3 linked regions of the Daphnia pulex genome follow. The protein of the gene in region 1 interacts with the protein of each later gene in a pairwise test. Links are inferred from orthologs where the notes say so. Each region holds a gene or a part of one and is shown in the gene's direction. Other genes may lie near its edges.

What was found.
Region 2: the proteins of exocyst complex component 1-like (region 1) and exocyst complex component 2-like interact in binary tests that used the Homo sapiens proteins (3 or more experiments, as listed by UniProt). The link is inferred for Daphnia pulex from reciprocal best matches to the Homo sapiens genes EXOC1 and EXOC2.
Region 3: the proteins of exocyst complex component 1-like (region 1) and golgin subfamily A member 4-like interact in binary tests that used the Homo sapiens proteins (3 or more experiments, as listed by UniProt). The link is inferred for Daphnia pulex from reciprocal best matches to the Homo sapiens genes EXOC1 and GOLGA4.

Annotation. Positions count from the first base shown.
Region 1 is NC_060019.1:8,325,791-8,331,934, reverse strand, and holds the start of exocyst complex component 1-like, read left to right. Parts: upstream 1-2,254; 5' UTR 2,255-2,440; coding exon 2,441-2,608; intron 2,609-2,677; coding exon 2,678-2,770; intron 2,771-2,869; coding exon 2,870-3,074; intron 3,075-3,134; coding exon 3,135-3,298; intron 3,299-3,360; coding exon 3,361-3,588; intron 3,589-3,650; coding exon 3,651-3,783; intron 3,784-3,850; coding exon 3,851-3,960; intron 3,961-4,027; coding exon 4,028-4,295; intron 4,296-4,363; coding exon 4,364-4,515; intron 4,516-4,577; coding exon 4,578-4,852; intron 4,853-4,922; coding exon 4,923-5,133; intron 5,134-5,221; coding exon 5,222-5,375; intron 5,376-5,478; coding exon 5,479-5,624; intron 5,625-5,683; coding exon 5,684-5,878; intron 5,879-5,933; coding exon 5,934-6,086; 3' UTR 6,087-6,144. Other genes in the region: teneurin-m-like, read left to right, coding at 1-77, 162-1,093.
Region 2 is NC_060020.1:5,847,950-5,852,821, forward strand, and holds exocyst complex component 2-like, read left to right. Parts: upstream 1-939; 5' UTR 940-1,121; coding exon 1,122-1,230; intron 1,231-1,288; coding exon 1,289-1,586; intron 1,587-1,652; coding exon 1,653-1,848; intron 1,849-1,911; coding exon 1,912-2,032; intron 2,033-2,101; coding exon 2,102-2,316; intron 2,317-2,402; coding exon 2,403-2,518; intron 2,519-2,597; coding exon 2,598-2,725; intron 2,726-2,804; coding exon 2,805-3,028; intron 3,029-3,102; coding exon 3,103-3,241; intron 3,242-3,325; coding exon 3,326-3,449; intron 3,450-3,513; coding exon 3,514-3,628; intron 3,629-3,707; coding exon 3,708-3,979; intron 3,980-4,054; coding exon 4,055-4,319; intron 4,320-4,379; coding exon 4,380-4,636; intron 4,637-4,708; coding exon 4,709-4,781; 3' UTR 4,782-4,862; downstream 4,863-4,872. Other genes in the region: general transcription and DNA repair factor IIH helicase subunit XPB-like, read left to right, coding at 1-797. UniProt on the Homo sapiens protein: Component of the exocyst complex involved in the docking of exocytic vesicles with fusion sites on the plasma membrane.
Region 3 is NC_060028.1:8,530,540-8,535,386, reverse strand, and holds the start of golgin subfamily A member 4-like, read left to right. Parts: upstream 1-775; 5' UTR 776-889; coding exon 890-979; intron 980-1,185; coding exon 1,186-1,287; intron 1,288-1,530; coding exon 1,531-1,809; intron 1,810-1,871; coding exon 1,872-2,069; intron 2,070-2,134; coding exon 2,135-2,290; intron 2,291-2,344; coding exon 2,345-2,495; intron 2,496-2,562; coding exon 2,563-2,708; intron 2,709-2,769; coding exon 2,770-2,968; intron 2,969-3,032; coding exon 3,033-3,136; intron 3,137-3,205; coding exon 3,206-3,321; intron 3,322-3,383; coding exon 3,384-3,552; intron 3,553-3,617; coding exon 3,618-3,856; intron 3,857-3,921; coding exon 3,922-4,847. Other genes in the region: trafficking protein particle complex subunit 6b-like, read right to left, coding at 6-207, 271-332, 390-476. UniProt on the Homo sapiens protein: Involved in vesicular trafficking at the Golgi apparatus level. May play a role in delivery of transport vesicles containing GPI-linked proteins from the trans-Golgi network through its interaction with MACF1. Involved in endosome-to-Golgi trafficking.

The DNA of each region.
Region 1 (6,144 bases):
TCCCCAGGACATTTTCGTCTACCGATTCCGTGGCAACGATCCAATCAGCATCGACACAGAGCCCCGCTACATGACAAGTAATATTCAAATCTCTTTTTATTTTAAATCAAAGTTTCGTTGGAAATTTATTCTAACCAATCGACTTGATTGATCACTTTCAGGTCTGGATGACTGGCTGCAACTATTTGGCTATTCGTGGAACAACATTGTCGGTGCGGAATACAGTTCGGCGGCCGTGTTCAGTCAAGTATCTGAAACGGACACGAAGAATGCCGTTGGACACTTTGGAGTCATTTCCGGCTTACGCTGTCTGACTGAAAACGTGCAAAAAGGATTTTCCGTTCTCAGTTTTGTGCCGCCTCCCAAGCTGCGGTCAGGAGGCGAGCTTAGACGGAACCCCCTGCCCAGTATCGCTTACCGGAAGCCGGCCTTGGGTGAAGGTATCCTCCTCTCGCGGGTGGGTGGTCGCGTGTCTGTCACTTTGTTGCCCGACTCGCAGGGCAGCAGCGGTGGCATATTGCAAGACGTGTTGGGTTCGGTCCTGGGCGACAGTTCCACCACCCACTGGTTAGACATCCGCACGGGAATGGGCCAACAGGAAATCTTCTACTTTGTCAAGGAAAGTCTGGCGAAATTGCGCGACGACCAGGAAGATTTGAAGCGTTTGAGTGGCCAGTTCAACATCACGCTCGTTGAAAACCCGACGGAACAAGGAGGCGGGTCTGAATTGCGATTGGCCAATGCGGATCTATCCGTCAGCATCAGCTACGGTGTCGAAGTGGAAGCGGCTAGACAGCGAATACTCCGGTCGTCTCATCGGCGAGCGGTTGAAGTCGCTTGGCTGCGCGAGAAACAGTTGGTGGAAAGCGGATTGCCCGGCCAGCAGGTGGACTGGAGCGTTGAAGAAAGGGTGGAGCTGATGACCAACGGAAGAGTCGACGGCTTTGTCGGCTCGGATTTGCACAGCATCTACGACTACCCGCAATTGGCCGATGATGCCAGCAACATTATTTTCCGGAGAGACGACACCAAGCGAAAACGGCGCAAGAGCCATCGCTTGTCGTCACGCCAACAAAGACGGGGGCAACACTGAAAAAAAAACAGGGTTTTATAATTAATCCACCAAACCCATGATCGTACTTCGAAACTAAAAAATATTGTGCTTTGTAAAAAAAAAAAAATAACAAAAATAACAAAAAAATCTGATTATGATTACGGTGCTCTGTCATTCTAATTTGTAATCTTTGACGGAATCATTTGCGCTGTATTTTTACGTCACCAGGAAAAGAAAAACAAAAAACTGCTCGAGCCGAAAAATGAAGCGTAGTCATCACCGTCTCATGTGATAATCAAATATCGAGATGGAATCCGAGTAGAAACATTCTTCGACATATTTGATGGTTTATTCATCTTTTTTTTTACTTTCCTTCCCTGTCCATTTCTATATATTACAAACACACCCACCAGTAAAAGAGATATATTGAAATCACTACTGACATTGGATCCTGTTTTCTTTTGTACTTTAAGAATTGTGTTTAGAGTTGTAACGTTTTTTTTCTGTTATTCCTTCGTGTACATATATTATTCTGATATTTCTTGACCGAAGCGATGCGTCGACATCACACCGCCAGATTTATTTGGGACTCTTCTCTATTGGCATCATTTGTTGCAATATGTTATTTCTGAAGAGTGTGCGATTTGATGACTCTACATGCCAAAATTCTCCTTTTTCAAATGTGCGTGTGTTATTTGAACATGGCGGGCCTAACTTTTGTGTGCGTCAAGTGTCATAATATTCACATCTTTATCGTATATAATAATCTCGGTATGCAAAACAAAAAATTCATGAATCTGAATGATTATGTGCATCTGATATAAATACATATTGTTGTACTGTAACACTTTTGTGAATTTTTTAAGAAATACGGTTGAGCTAAAATATCCAAAATGAAATTTTCGACACGTTGAGCGTTAAGGAAAACAAATGAACAAATGAGACAAATGAAAATCTAGAAAATCAAGTTTAAGATAAATGTTATAATGTTATATTTCAAGAGTAGTTCTCAGTGAAAATTCGAGATTAATAATTATGGTCACCAGATCTGCTGTACACGCCCCTCGGTCTGATAGTCCACCCCTTCCTCCCATTAAAATTATGAATAAATAATCCGATCGTTTGCTGCACGCGCGAGTTTCCGCGTTTTTTAAAAAATAACCCTTTGACTTCATAAGTTCTCCGTATCACTGTTAGAGGACAGCACCATCAGATGGTGGGTGGGACAGCTTCGTCTGCAATATTGTCAGTTGTCACGAAACACAGCAGACATAATATAGTGTATGCAACCTGCTGGCGATTCAACGTTATTGTTATTGAATCTAATTGTTAGCCGATTGATTGACGATTGATTGACATTTTCTCGTTACTTCTTCGTTTAATAAAATGGCTGCGCTAAGGCACAGTTTGCAGCGAGAATTATTTTCGCCTGCTGAAGAAAGATTAGTTGGATTGGCTCATGTGACTAGTGTTGGCAAGAAAAAGAAGGCACTTCCTTGTTTTTTGTGCGTTGCAGTTACTGCAGATCAAGGCATCGGTGCCGTAATATACAAGGTATACTTACTTCAATTTTCCCATGCACCAAATTATGTTCTTTATTCTGTCATTATTTTCAATAAACAGGTAAAGAAAACTGAGAAAAACAATGTTTACAAGAAGAAGAGTAGCTGGCCATTGAAAGAGCTCAAAACTGTGGATGGTATTGATGGCAACAAGGTATAAAGAAATTGTTTTCATATTTGTCTGGTTTGCCCATGCAGACCCTCAAAGAGTTGTGTCATCTTCTTAAAACAATTGTAATTTTTTATTTTGTAGGAAACAGCTGAATTCAGCATTCATTTTGACAAAGTATACCTTTGGTCTGCATCTAATGTTCAAGAAAGGCTTCTTTTGTTTTCCATTTTATGGAAACTTTGTTCAAAGTATTTGCCGAAACAAAGTCCAATGTTTGTTAATATCCCTCCAGGCATCATAGAAGATTCAGTGATACCAGAAACATCCGTAGCATTAGATCATGAAGGTATCAAATTGAAACTTGTGAAGCATTTTATAAGTTGTTCACCTGTTTGATTCAAACTAGTCAGTGGTCCAATGGATGGAGGCATTGGTGAGGAGGATTATCAAGCCCTTACAGACAGAGAAGAGAAAGACCTGGAACGATTATTATCTCAGTCCAATAATGCCTTGAGTAATGCAGAAAAGTTTATGGAGCAACTGGCTAAGGACTTGTCTTTACTTGATGGAGTATTTTATGCAATAAAAATCTATCATTTGAAATATCATAACTGAACTGATTTCTACTATAGGCAAATATTCAAAGCTTGATGGGCTCTGAAGCTCAAGTCATACAATTGTTGAACCTTCTCGAAGCAGCCGAAAATGAAGCTGCATCCATTGAAACCGAGTTAGACAAGTATGAAAACATTCTACTCCAAGCCCGGGTTGCAATGGCAACAGTAGGTGAAAAGAATGTGTCCCTGGAAACTGCCAACCGTAACAATCGTCTTCTACTTATGGAACTCAATAATTTAGTCGTAAGGCTGCCGTTTTCAATCCTCGTTTATCCGCATCTACAATCAATGTGTTTGTGGTACAGGCACATTTAGATATTCCACATTCCCAGCAAGTAACTTTGAACAATCCAGACTTAAATAGTCCTACAGGCCTTCAAAACGCTATAATAGCTGCTAAATCTCTTCAACGTGCTATGAATGCTGAACTAAAACCAGGTACTTGCATTTTTCGAAACCAAAATAAAATAATTCTATTCTCATTTCTCTAATCGTCACTCTTAAGGACTTGAGAAAATGGTTGCGGTTCAAGATCAGCGACGGCAGTTGGAGAAATGGCGAGCAAAATTTACACCCACAGTTACTCGCCAACTCAACAACCTCTTCATTCACTTAGTAATAAAATCAGTTTATACTTACGCTTTTTTTTCCCTTCAATAATATTTTTTGGTTTTCTTTTTAGAGCAATGATTCTGGAGAAACCAGTAGTCAAAGCTCTAGAAGTTCAAACTCTTCGCAAACAACAGTGTCACTGGCTAAACACGGGAAACTGCATTCTCAACTACAAATGTATGCTCCCTTAATGCATTGGCTAAAAGCAACAGACCATGCCTGCTATGAGAAACTACTCGAAGTATACACTACATCAATATGTAAATTGTATGAAAGAGATCTACGGCAGTTCTTTGATGAAGCGCGTTCGAAAGTGATAGGATTGCGAGAGAAAAAACGTAAGGAGAAGCAATTTTTTATTTGAATCCACCTTTAGTGATTTCTGGTTATAACATGTTTACCGCAGTTCGTGGAAGTGATTCGGGTTCAGACATGGGCACCAGGCATTCCTTGTCTATTAAAAATCCTTCAGGAACAAATGTCGCCGCGGCAAGCCCTAGTGGAACAATACAAATGCCGAGTCAAAATTTGTTAGGGAATGAAAGAGAGCTTTGGACGGTACAATATACTATACGAAATTTTAAATGTGTAAAATGTATTGATAAATATGTTTATTACAGGTTGAAGTTGATATTCATGAAAGAAAACGCCTAGAAGACTTGCTTGAATGCGCACTAGCCGAACTTGAACCAGTATGTCTAGTGGAACAAGAATTTTGTGTCGCATTTTTTGCACTGGATCAAGGAGGCCATGAAGCGGATGAATCATCAACAAGTAACAAAACCCCAGAACGAGCCATTAACGAAGAAGTGCGCAAAATGATGAGCGTTTTGTTTACTGTTCTTGAACCGGAGCTTGTGAGCTTTCTTGCTACTTATGAGAAAGTAGATAGCTTGTAAGTGATTTAGAATACTGTACTTTTTAAATTGGAATGCTTTTTTTTTAATCGCTATTATTATTTCTAGCTCACCTTTGTACGTCCTCGTGAGACTTAGTCAGCATGTCTTGTCTGCAACCGATACCGGTTCCTTCCTCAGTGTTACATTTGGTTCATCTTTGGTGCACGTGAAGCGAGCATTCGATCGGTTTTTTATGACTCAGCTTCGCTCGATTGAAGATTCAAAACAGCCTAGGAAATCCAAATGTGGGATTCTTCCTTTCATTTCTAATTTCGAGGTAAAGTAACAAAATTAAAAATTTGTAAGTTAGTTGTATTTTGAATTTATTTTGAATTCCCCACGGCATCCTTTTATTTCATTTCTAGGAATTTTCTGTGATAATTGAAAATATTTTCAAGAATTCAGAACGGCGGGTTGATGTTGACAAATGGTACACACGTTTAGTCCGAGCCATGTTTGAAGTAATGCCAAGGATTTCTATAGAGAACTCTAGGACTCCAGCTGACATGATCAAAATGGGTATTTGAACGATTATTATATCATTTTTCTTTTAATTCAGAGTTTAATTCTAAGAAACAAAGAAATTCATTGCTATTTGTATTTTGTATTGTTTTTTTAATAGAAAATTTTCATCGATTACACGCTTTGTTGTCACAGCTAAAAATCGCAGTCCTGGAAGCCGAGAAGAAAGAAGCAAAGCAAAAATATCAGGAAGCACTTCAATCATACGTTATACAATATTTTGGAAGGCCTTTAGAGAAACTCAATGTAGGTTACCTAATTAATGTGCTAAAAATGTGAAGTAATTTTGTTTTTTGTTTTTCTAGTTATTTTTTGATGGTGTTCAAGCTAAAGTTTCGCAAGGAGTTAAAGAGTCGGAAATTGGCTACCAAATGGCGTTTAGTAAACAAGAACTACGAAAAGTGATTTCCATTTATCCTGGAAGAGAAGTTAAAAAAGGTCTCGAATCTCTGTACAAAAAAGTGGAAAAACATCTATCTGATGAAGAAAATCTGTTACAGGTTATTTGATTTTTTTAATGTATAAAGCATTATTTAATGTAATGCTGTTTAATAGGTTGTGTGGCGGGCCATGCAAGAAGAATTTATCCGTCAATACAAATCCCTCGAAGACATGATTCAGCGTTGCTACCCTGGTGCGCTCATCACGTTGGACTTCTCCATGAGTGATATTCTTGAATATTTTTCAGACATAGCACGCTCTCACTAATGCTTGATTTTCAGAAACATAATTAAATTACATGTTCAAAAAATTTTCCTAAACAGCG
Region 2 (4,872 bases), on another chromosome or scaffold:
ATCGCGAGTATCTGGCCTGTAAATCCGCAAAGAAAATGCTTCTCTTCGTAATGAATCCTAACAAGTTTAGAGCCTGTCAGTTTCTTATTCGCTACCACGAGCGACGTAATGACAAAATCATCGTTTTTTCGGATAATGTGTATGCTCTTAAGCACTATGCGCTTACCATGAATAAGCCATTCATTTACGGTCCAACATCTCAGAACGAAAGGCTTCAAATTCTACAAAATTTCAAACTGAATCCGAAGGTGAACACAATTTTCGTCAGTAAGGTGGCTGATACTTCCTTCGATTTGCCTGATGCCAACGTGCTTATTCAAATATCCTCGCACGGTGGCTCTCGTCGTCAAGAAGCTCAACGTTTGGGGCGTATTCTTCGAGCCAAGAAAGGTGCCATTGCGGAGGAGTACAATGCGTTCTTCTACACGCTGGTATCGCAAGATACATTGGAAATGAGCTTCTCTCGTAAACGTCAGCGATTCTTGGTTAATCAAGGATACAGCTATAAAGTCATCACTCGCATGGCGGGCATGGATCAAGACCAGGAATTGAACTACAAGAGCAAGGAAGAGCAAGCCAACCTGCTACAAATGGTTCTGACAGCATCGGATATTGATGCAGATGAAGAGCGTGTACCCGGAGAAATTGGAGGTCGGCCTGGTCCATTTGGACGACGCGTTGGAACCATGGCATCAATGAGCGGTGCCGATGACGCAGTTTATATGGAATATAAACGCCCATCAGCTTCAAATAATTTATCCAAACACCCCCTTTTCAAGAAATACCGCACCAAGTAAAGATTTTCCAAGTCATAAAATGTGATTACTATATCTCAAAATTCATGTTGAATAAATACAGAAACTGGTTTAATACTTTTTATTTCTCACTTTTTTTTGGTGTCTGGTGACAGGTGTGTGATAATATATGCAATGCTGTAAACTTCGTCTGCTATGTTGTTGTCTCTCATAGTTGTCAAGCAAAGACTATTGGGTGTGAGAAAGTCTTTACGAAATTCATTTATAATCAATCGCAGTAGTGCACGTTTGTATTTAAGTTGGGTGAAGAATTTGCTGTCGTAGTGGAAAGGGCTATAAATTTAAATTTTTTTGTATCAAACAACAATGGGTTTACCACCTATCGTGACTGGAGTTTCCCCAAAGGAAGGACCTCCTGGAACTCGTGTAACAATACGAGGAGAAAATTTCGGCAGTGGACCTGATGATATTATTGGTAAAATTAAGAAAAATTTTATGTTGAATTGTTATTCATGTCTGTTCTGTTTCTGTAGGTCTAATAATTTGCAACTCCGATTGTTTGCTATCTGCTGAATGGGTTTCAAGTAACAAAATTGTGGCCAGATCAGGTCCAGGTAAAAGCAAGGGTGATATAGTCATAATCACCAAATCTGGAGGAAAGGGTTCATGTACTGTACAGTTTAGGGGCTACCATGAAACTATTGGCCCTTTAAAAGAAAGTGCAGTTTGGGTTGATGAATCACATTTGACTGGACTTGGAAGACACAGAGCTTTGATTCCTTCCAGCTATCAACAAGATGACCCTTTAGGACTTTCTGTTGAAAATGCAGTGTTGGTTTTTATCTACTACACTTAGTTTTGGTATATTTTATTAATTGAATTAAAACAATTACATAGAAAAAAATACCCTGAAGAAGAACTGCAAGAATTATTTCCTGAATCGAACGGTGAGCTCGGAAGTGAAAATTTTTCTCCGTCTTGGTTTTTGTTGCAGCATCATCACAGCACCGGATTTGATGATCTGAAAGCTGGGCTTAGCTTTCTTAAACGACGGGTTGAAGCTCAGAAAGAAGGACAAATATCCTTTTTAAAGGTTTGGAAATAAATAAAAGATTGCTTTATAAATACTTACAGCTAATATTTTCATTAATTGAAGACCCATGCAGGCTCAGTTATAGAACAGATGGACACTTTGATGACTTTAAAAAAAGTTGTAGAAGAAAACAAAACAAAATACGGGCCGGATATGACAGCGTCTTTGGAAAACTCCATTTTGAGTATGCAGCACACTCTTATTGCGATATTAGCAGCAATTGTTAACTATTGACAAATTAATTCATTTTCAGGCGCTAAAACCGAAGCTGGTCGGTTGTTCGACGATGTCCTCAAACGTAAAGAACAAGCTGACGGCACCAGAAATGCTTTGGGAATTCTGCAAAGATTCCGATTTCTGTTTCATTTACCGTCTACCCTTGATAAAAACATTCAAAAGGCTGATTATGATTTGGTCATTAATGATTATGCAAGAGCTAATGCTTTGTTCGGACAAACTGAAGTACAGGTGTGTAATATTTAGGTCATGCAGTGTGGTGTATTTTAACGATCCCGGAGCCAACTTTAGATCAATCGCAACTTCATGTATTATAGGTTTTTAAACGAGTTCTGCAAGAAGCAGAGCAGCGAATTTTAAATCTCAGGGAGATGCTACAAGAGAAACTGCAACAGTATCCTGCATCACTTGAAGAGCAAAAAAAAATTATTAGGTCAGTACAAGAAAAAGCTTAACTTTTGCATGATTTTGATTTACCTAAACTTTTGAATTATTTTGTCATTCCATTACAGAAACTTGACAAATCTTGAATGTCCGAATGATCCAGCATGGCTTTGTATTGCTGGACAATATAAGCATTGCTCTCAAATATTATTCCAATGTAAAGATAAATACCTAAGTTTGGAGCAAGAAGAAATTGGTAATTTTTTGCGGATTTGCCAAAACAAAATTTAATAAATTCGTGTATTTTAATTCTACATTGTTTGATGCTGGTTTAGTAAAATCTGCACCATCCAAAGGAAAACGATCCAATAATCTGTTGTTGCCGTCATCTAACTCTGCTGAATCCTCATCTAATACTACGCCGGGAAGGGTAACATTCCTTGAAGAACTTAACGATCGGTTCACTTCTGTTTTTCCGGAACTCTGGAAACTTGGCCAAGCTTATTTCGCTGGGGAATTGTTTGTTCGGGCAGATACATTGAAAAAAGAAGAATTCAAAGTAATTATTCAAATCCCATTATTTATTTATGTGTATACATGTACATTTATTCTCTTTCAATTGCGGATTTATAGAAAATGGTATTGGACGTGGTAACAATATTCAGTCAACTCATCAGAGCTGCTTTAATTCCTCACACTCTGGATCGTCAATCTCCACATCGAGCTCAATTTGGTATTTGGCAAGCCTTCAGTGGAATATTTTCTGATCATGGTAATTACTTTCGTTATTTATATAGTAAAGTCATCTTGTTAACCAGTATAGAAAATAATTGCGTTACAAATTTCGTTTATGTAGAAGGAATTGGATCGTGGTTCGTACTTTGTCTTCGAACGGTTCGAACCTGTTATGCTGAATTACTTACGCTGGACTTACCTGTTGAAGCTCTTGACGCCATTCGCGATTTGCTTCATGATTTAAGGTAGGGTTATTAAGTTCGATATCGGCAATATTTCGCTTACTTCCGCTTTATTATCTTCTTTTAGAGTTCATTGCATGAGAAGTCTATTAATGCAAACTGCTGAAAATATCACACATCTTGCCAGTCAAGAAAACTGGAAGTTGGAATTTATTGAATCCCATGGGTCTATTACGCAATTGGTAATATAGAGATTTTTTAATGTAGTAATGTGGCTCTATTCTACTATGCCAACATTTATCTTTCAATGCCAATTTTCAGCCTCATATATTTGAAACACAAGTAATCGAGTGTCTACAACTGGTGAAAGAAACTGTTTTTCAATCAGAACAACGAGAAACTAACTTGATGGAGAACGCATCTGTACTGAATGACTTGAATATCTTAGTGCAAAAGTTACTCTTCAGTTTTGCGCGTAGCACAGAACGCCTGGCATCTTCTGACCAGGATCATTCCGAAGATTCAACTCGTGAAATGAAATTACTGCTAGGACTCAGTAATTGTCAGTATACAATGCTTCATATTTTGCCCAGGTACACACTAAACATTTATGATTAACAATTGAAAGAGTTTTAAAGTATAACTACTATCCTGTTTAATTTTTCTAGACTGAAAGAGCACTGGAACAAATTAGGATATCCTGATCTGTCGGCTGCCATTCAAGCGGCTAGAGATCTATTAGAGAAAACCGAAGAGCGATTAATGGAAGCATATTTAGAAGAAAAGGTTGAACCACTGATTGGAATTGTAGAGCCTTCTATGTATGCTGGACGCTTCGATTGGAACAAGAATATTCCTATTACAGATGATATTCGGCCTTACTGCAAAGAAATAATAATGAACATGATTGCAGTTCATGCAGAAGTTGCCCAAGTATTGACGTCCTTGTTCTAGTTGTTATATATTCATCCAATTCATTATTCTGGGTTTCAGGTTAGTCCTTCACTCGTTCCTCGTATCCTCGAAAGAGTCGTGCGAGAGGTGGCAGCAGAACTGGGTCGTTTGTTTTCATGTGTTAACAAATTTTCAGACAGTGGAGCGCTTCAAGCATCAGCAGACATTTCTGCCTTATCCCGAGCATGTTTTAACGTCGGGAAAAATTCCAATGAAACACGCTTGCAGCAATTTTCGAATCCTTTTTCAGAAGCTGCGGACATGATTCCACCACTTACGACACCAGACAGTATTGAGTACGATTTTAAAGATGTAATAGATCAGTAATCAGGTAGTTGGTAACGTATTTTAATTTTGTCTCATAACAGATCCCACAAGAGAATCCTCGTCAATTTCGAAAAGCGGATGAAGTTCCAGTTATTTTGCCTTGATATAAACTAACGTGTTTAAAAGCCTGTTTTCCCTTTATTTTGATTTTAATTCAAGTGTAATACATATCTACAATACAAATTCAAAACGAAATGAGACTTTT
Region 3 (4,847 bases), on another chromosome or scaffold:
AATACCTTTGGGGCTAATTCTAGATATTGCCTGCTGTTGGATATTGAGGCAAGGAACCTAAACTTGTTATCTTGGAGGACATATACACCTTGATGATTAGTCCTGAGGTTGTCAACTTGCTTCTTGAAAACTGCACTCCAAAAATCTTTACAGATAGCTTTCATGACTTCTAGCTCATCTTTAAATCTTGATAAATCCTTGGTTAGTCTTAGAAATGATAAATATTACTAAGTGTCACAACTGTCACATACAAAAGGATTTTTTCTGTACCTTTCAATGAATCTATAGCCAGTGGAGTAGCCAATTTGTTCCAATTTAGACATAGCTTCATCCTGTAAGAACAGTCAGTGTTTATTCTGAAAAAGCTATGTGAATTGAACAAAACTTACTCCATCTTGAAGGGAGCCAGGATCAGATTTTGTCACTTGACTGACTATTTCCATATGAAGAAAATCAAACAACGCATCATCGGCCATTTCTTATACACGACAAGTTCGAAAGAGGTAAATAAATTATCGAATATTTTAATTCAGACAAGAATATTCATGAAATTAACTTGAACGAATATGTGCAGAGACGTAAACAATAAGGTTTTCTAGCAGACAACTCTAAATTTAGTTTGGGTTGCGGTTGCCCTAGTATGAAAAACTAATTTTGTAGTTTTTTTTTACAATTCAAAAATATTCCTGATCCCTGAAGACATAATAATACGACTACGCTTGAGTAATATAGCAGTTTTTACGTGAAATTATTATTGAAATAATCAATTAGATTTTCTTAAAGCTGAAATAACGTTTGACGGTTTGAGAGCAGCACCAGCGCTTAATGGTGTGAGTGACGTCATACAATAAGTTTTGACAGGTGGATCTTGCTCCGATATTGTTCGATCATGTTCAAGAAATTAAAGGATAAAATTGCTGAGGAAGTAAAGCAATCTCCGTTACGGCTTCCAACTTCTGTGCAGCAACATTTGTCTCAGGTAGGGATTCTATACCGAATTCTCCGTGTTCATTACCATAAGAGTTTTTACTGTCATGGCTTATTGATGATCAAGTCGGTATTTTTAATATCAACTATTGAGGTCTTTAATGTGCAAGCTATTTTGTCTGGTTGTGGGGCATGGAAAAACAAGCTTTTAATTATGCTGCTTTGTGCTTTTACCCTGTTTTCCTTCACAACCTTCAGTACTCTCCTTTCACTCGGGAAGCACATAATGGTGATGTCATAGAAGCCCAACAGATTCAAAGTGGCCTGGGGGAAAATGCTGCAATTCAAAGAACTCATGAGGTAACTTAGAGATGATATTCAATGAATGATGCATTTTGCAAATTAATTTTGCATTTTTTTAAGTAATTTTGTGCACTCATGTTGGCTTTACAGGACTGTGGCTTTAGAAATATAAGAAATATCAGTTCAATTTGTTATTGTTGAAATCTTGCCTTACCTCTGCATCAACATTACATGCATATCGTTTTTTATGTATTTAATTAAATCCATAAAACTCATTCATCTAATTTTAAATCTTCTCAGACATTAGTTGACATCGCCGAAGATGGAGAAGCAGGAATCAACGCATTTAGCATAGCCGACGTTGATAGTCGACCGTCATCACCATCAGGCTCAAACAAAGAAGGACGATTTCAACCTGTGAATCTAAATGAACCCAAACGAGAAATGACGACCAGCACTCCACAATCTGCTAACCATACCGGTCGGCTATCCCGCCAGTCATCACTTAGCTCTGTTTTCAGTGATGTCTCATTTCTTCCTGGTTCTTCAGATCCGACATATCACCCGTATCAATTCCAGGTACTATATCCTCACCAAAGCATCGAATAAACTAACCTAATCGAATTACGTTTCCTGTCCAGTCGGATCTAGAGTCTAATGTAAGCGAATTTGACGATTCCGCCAGCCAGAGTGGTACGCATGCTGTTGATCGAATATCCAAAGAGCACGTTTATAATGCCTACCAGAAAATGAGGGTGCGCTATCATAAATATAAAGGACGTTACTCTGATTTGGCACGACATTATAAAGAACTAGAGCGCGACAGAGAAAAAGTCAAGGTGGGAATATTGTTTGGTTTCCAAAACACCAATTCTTATTGATTGCTTATTGCCCTTCCATGTAGCACGTACTAACTGAGACCCAAGATCGAAGTCTGCGAAGGATATCGGAACTCAAAGAACAATGTGTTCTGGAGCAACAAGCCAAAGCCCATTTGGAAGAAATTTTGAGGTCGGATTTAGAAGAAAAAGACAATTTAATAGCCGTCCTGCAAACAAAAGTAATATCAAAATTGTCCAAATTTCGCAATATCTCTTACTTTCTTACCGCCCAGGTCAAATTATTGGCTTCCCCTTCGCCTTCCATCTCCGAGGGACCATTAGTAGACTTAAACAATTCCGAGACTGCCAGCAGTAAATCGTTTGATGAGACCGACAAAGATGTGAAGGGAGAAGCTACAGACAATGAAGTTCAACTATTGAAAGGTAATTTTCTTTTGTTTTGTAAAGTGTATATTTTTTTCATTAGAATGGTTCTTTGTTATATTTTCAGAGAAACTCCAGCGTTTTGAATCACTTCTTATGAAATGTAAAGAAAATATTAAATCACACATCGAACGTAACAGCGAGCTTCAGGCGGAGAATGAAACCTTTAAACAAAAAGAAACCCAAAAGAACGAAGAAATCGACAGCGTTCAGGTAATGAGAACGATTACGTTATTCCAGATTTTTTAGTAATCAATGTTGTAATGTTTTACAGAAAATGCATCGAGATCAATTAGCTCAACTTACAGAAAGCTTAAATATGGCCCGAACAGAAATTGAAACTCTACGACGTCAAGAACAAGAAGCTGCTTTGGCATCTGCTGAAACTAAGCAGAAAGTTCATGCTGAACTTGTCAAACAAGAGGAGGAAATGGTTCGGCTCCGTAATGAGCGCGAGCAACTTAATAACAAAGGTTGATTACTTCATTGTTGGCTTGAAAAACGCATTTGTTAAGGTTCATTTTATTAACAATACAGTGACTCTGTTGGAGACAGAAATGGATAAAATCAAAGAACAGACGTCAAAGCAGCTACAAGACGCGGAAGCAGTTCTTGAAGTGGAAAAACAAAAGCTTCTCAAGGTAAATTCTGAACTGTAAAAAGAAAGAGAAAGAATTCAGAGATTCAAAACTTTTTTGTTGCGTTAATAGGAACTTTCGCGTGGAAAAACTGAGGCACTCAAACTAATGGACGAGGACATGGGCCATCGTCTGGAAGATTCGAAAAAGGAGAGAGACGCTCATTGGGAAGCTGTTTTACAGAAAAAGTATATTAGGTTAAAAGTTAATTACAGGAGTTTTTTGTTCATCGCTAAGTATGCTTTATCAGATTAAGTGAAGAGGCAGAAAACCACGCGAGGGTGCTACGTCAGACAGAGGAGCATTATCGTTCGCGATTGGCCGAGATGCAAGAGGAAAAAACTTTGGCTCTGGAAGAAAAAGAGTTGCATTGTGCTTCGCTAATTTCTCGAGAAAAGAACAACCAACAAGGACTGCAGGTTCATAATGATTTTTAAAGAAATGGTTTGAATTTTACTATATATTTTTATAAATGTTTAAACAGGAAGAAATTTCAAATCTAAAGAGTGAGATAGAAAACAAAGAAAAAATTGCTGAGAAGGCCCGAGAAGAAAGCCTGGAAGAGCGACGATCTTGGGTTCAACAAATCGAGGAAAACAGAGAGAGACATTTAGAGGAAATCCAGTCTGTGAGTTTGCAGAATAAAAAACTTGTCGAAGAAATTGAAGAACGTCATCAAAATGCGATCGACACTGCCGTTTTAGGTCTTAAACAACAGCACACGTAAGATTTTTGTTATTGACAGGTAGTGGTAAAATTAACCTCAAGTTCCGTTTGTGTGCGTTTAGGATGGAATTGGAGAAATATCAGTTACAACACGAAGAACTTCTTCAAGCAGCAAATGAAGATATGGAATCTTCTGCCAAGAATCAAATACAACAGCTTCGCACCCTCTTGCGTGACAAAGATTCTGAAACGTCACAACACAGCGCAACGCTTCAGGAATTTCAAGAGCTTTTAAAAAGCAAAGAGCTCAACATCAGCGATCTATCTAGCCAAATAAATGTCCTTCAAGAACGAGTTACTTCCATGAATGCTGTGTCTGAGCAGTTGAATTCGGCGCTTGAGCAGACTAAACTACTGGAGCCATTAAATCTTGAACTTCAAAAAATGAAAGATGAGGCTGCCTACATGATTTCCCAAATGCGTCAATTGGAAGAAGAGAGAGATGTTTTCAAAAATTCTTCAATACAACTACAAGAGAGTGAAAAAGAGTGCGAAAAGTTAAAACTTCAAATAGAAGACTCGACCGCTGCCATAAATGAAAACAAGAAACAATTGGAATTATTAGACGCAATGAAGCTGGAAATCGCCGAATTAAAAGATTCTATGGACCAGAAGGAAAAATTGGTCTTTGAATTACAAGATAAAGCAGAAAAAGCCGTTGATTCCGCAAACGCTAAAGAATCTGAATACCAACAAATTACTGAAAAGTTGAATGAACGCTCGCAAACTGTTCAGGCAGAATTGACTATCGTTAAATTGGCACTAGAAAAAAAAGACGAACAGATTGCTCAATTAGAACAAGCAGTTGAGAAAACTAAACTACTGGAGCCATTGAATCTTGAACTTGACAAAGCCAAAGAAGAAATTGCCTCCATGACCTCCCGTATGCGTCAACTGGAAGAAGAAAGAGATGCTCTAAAAAATTCTTCAGTATGCGATAGCGTTCAAGTTTCTCGACTTAAAGAACAGCTAGAAGAGAGTGAAAAAG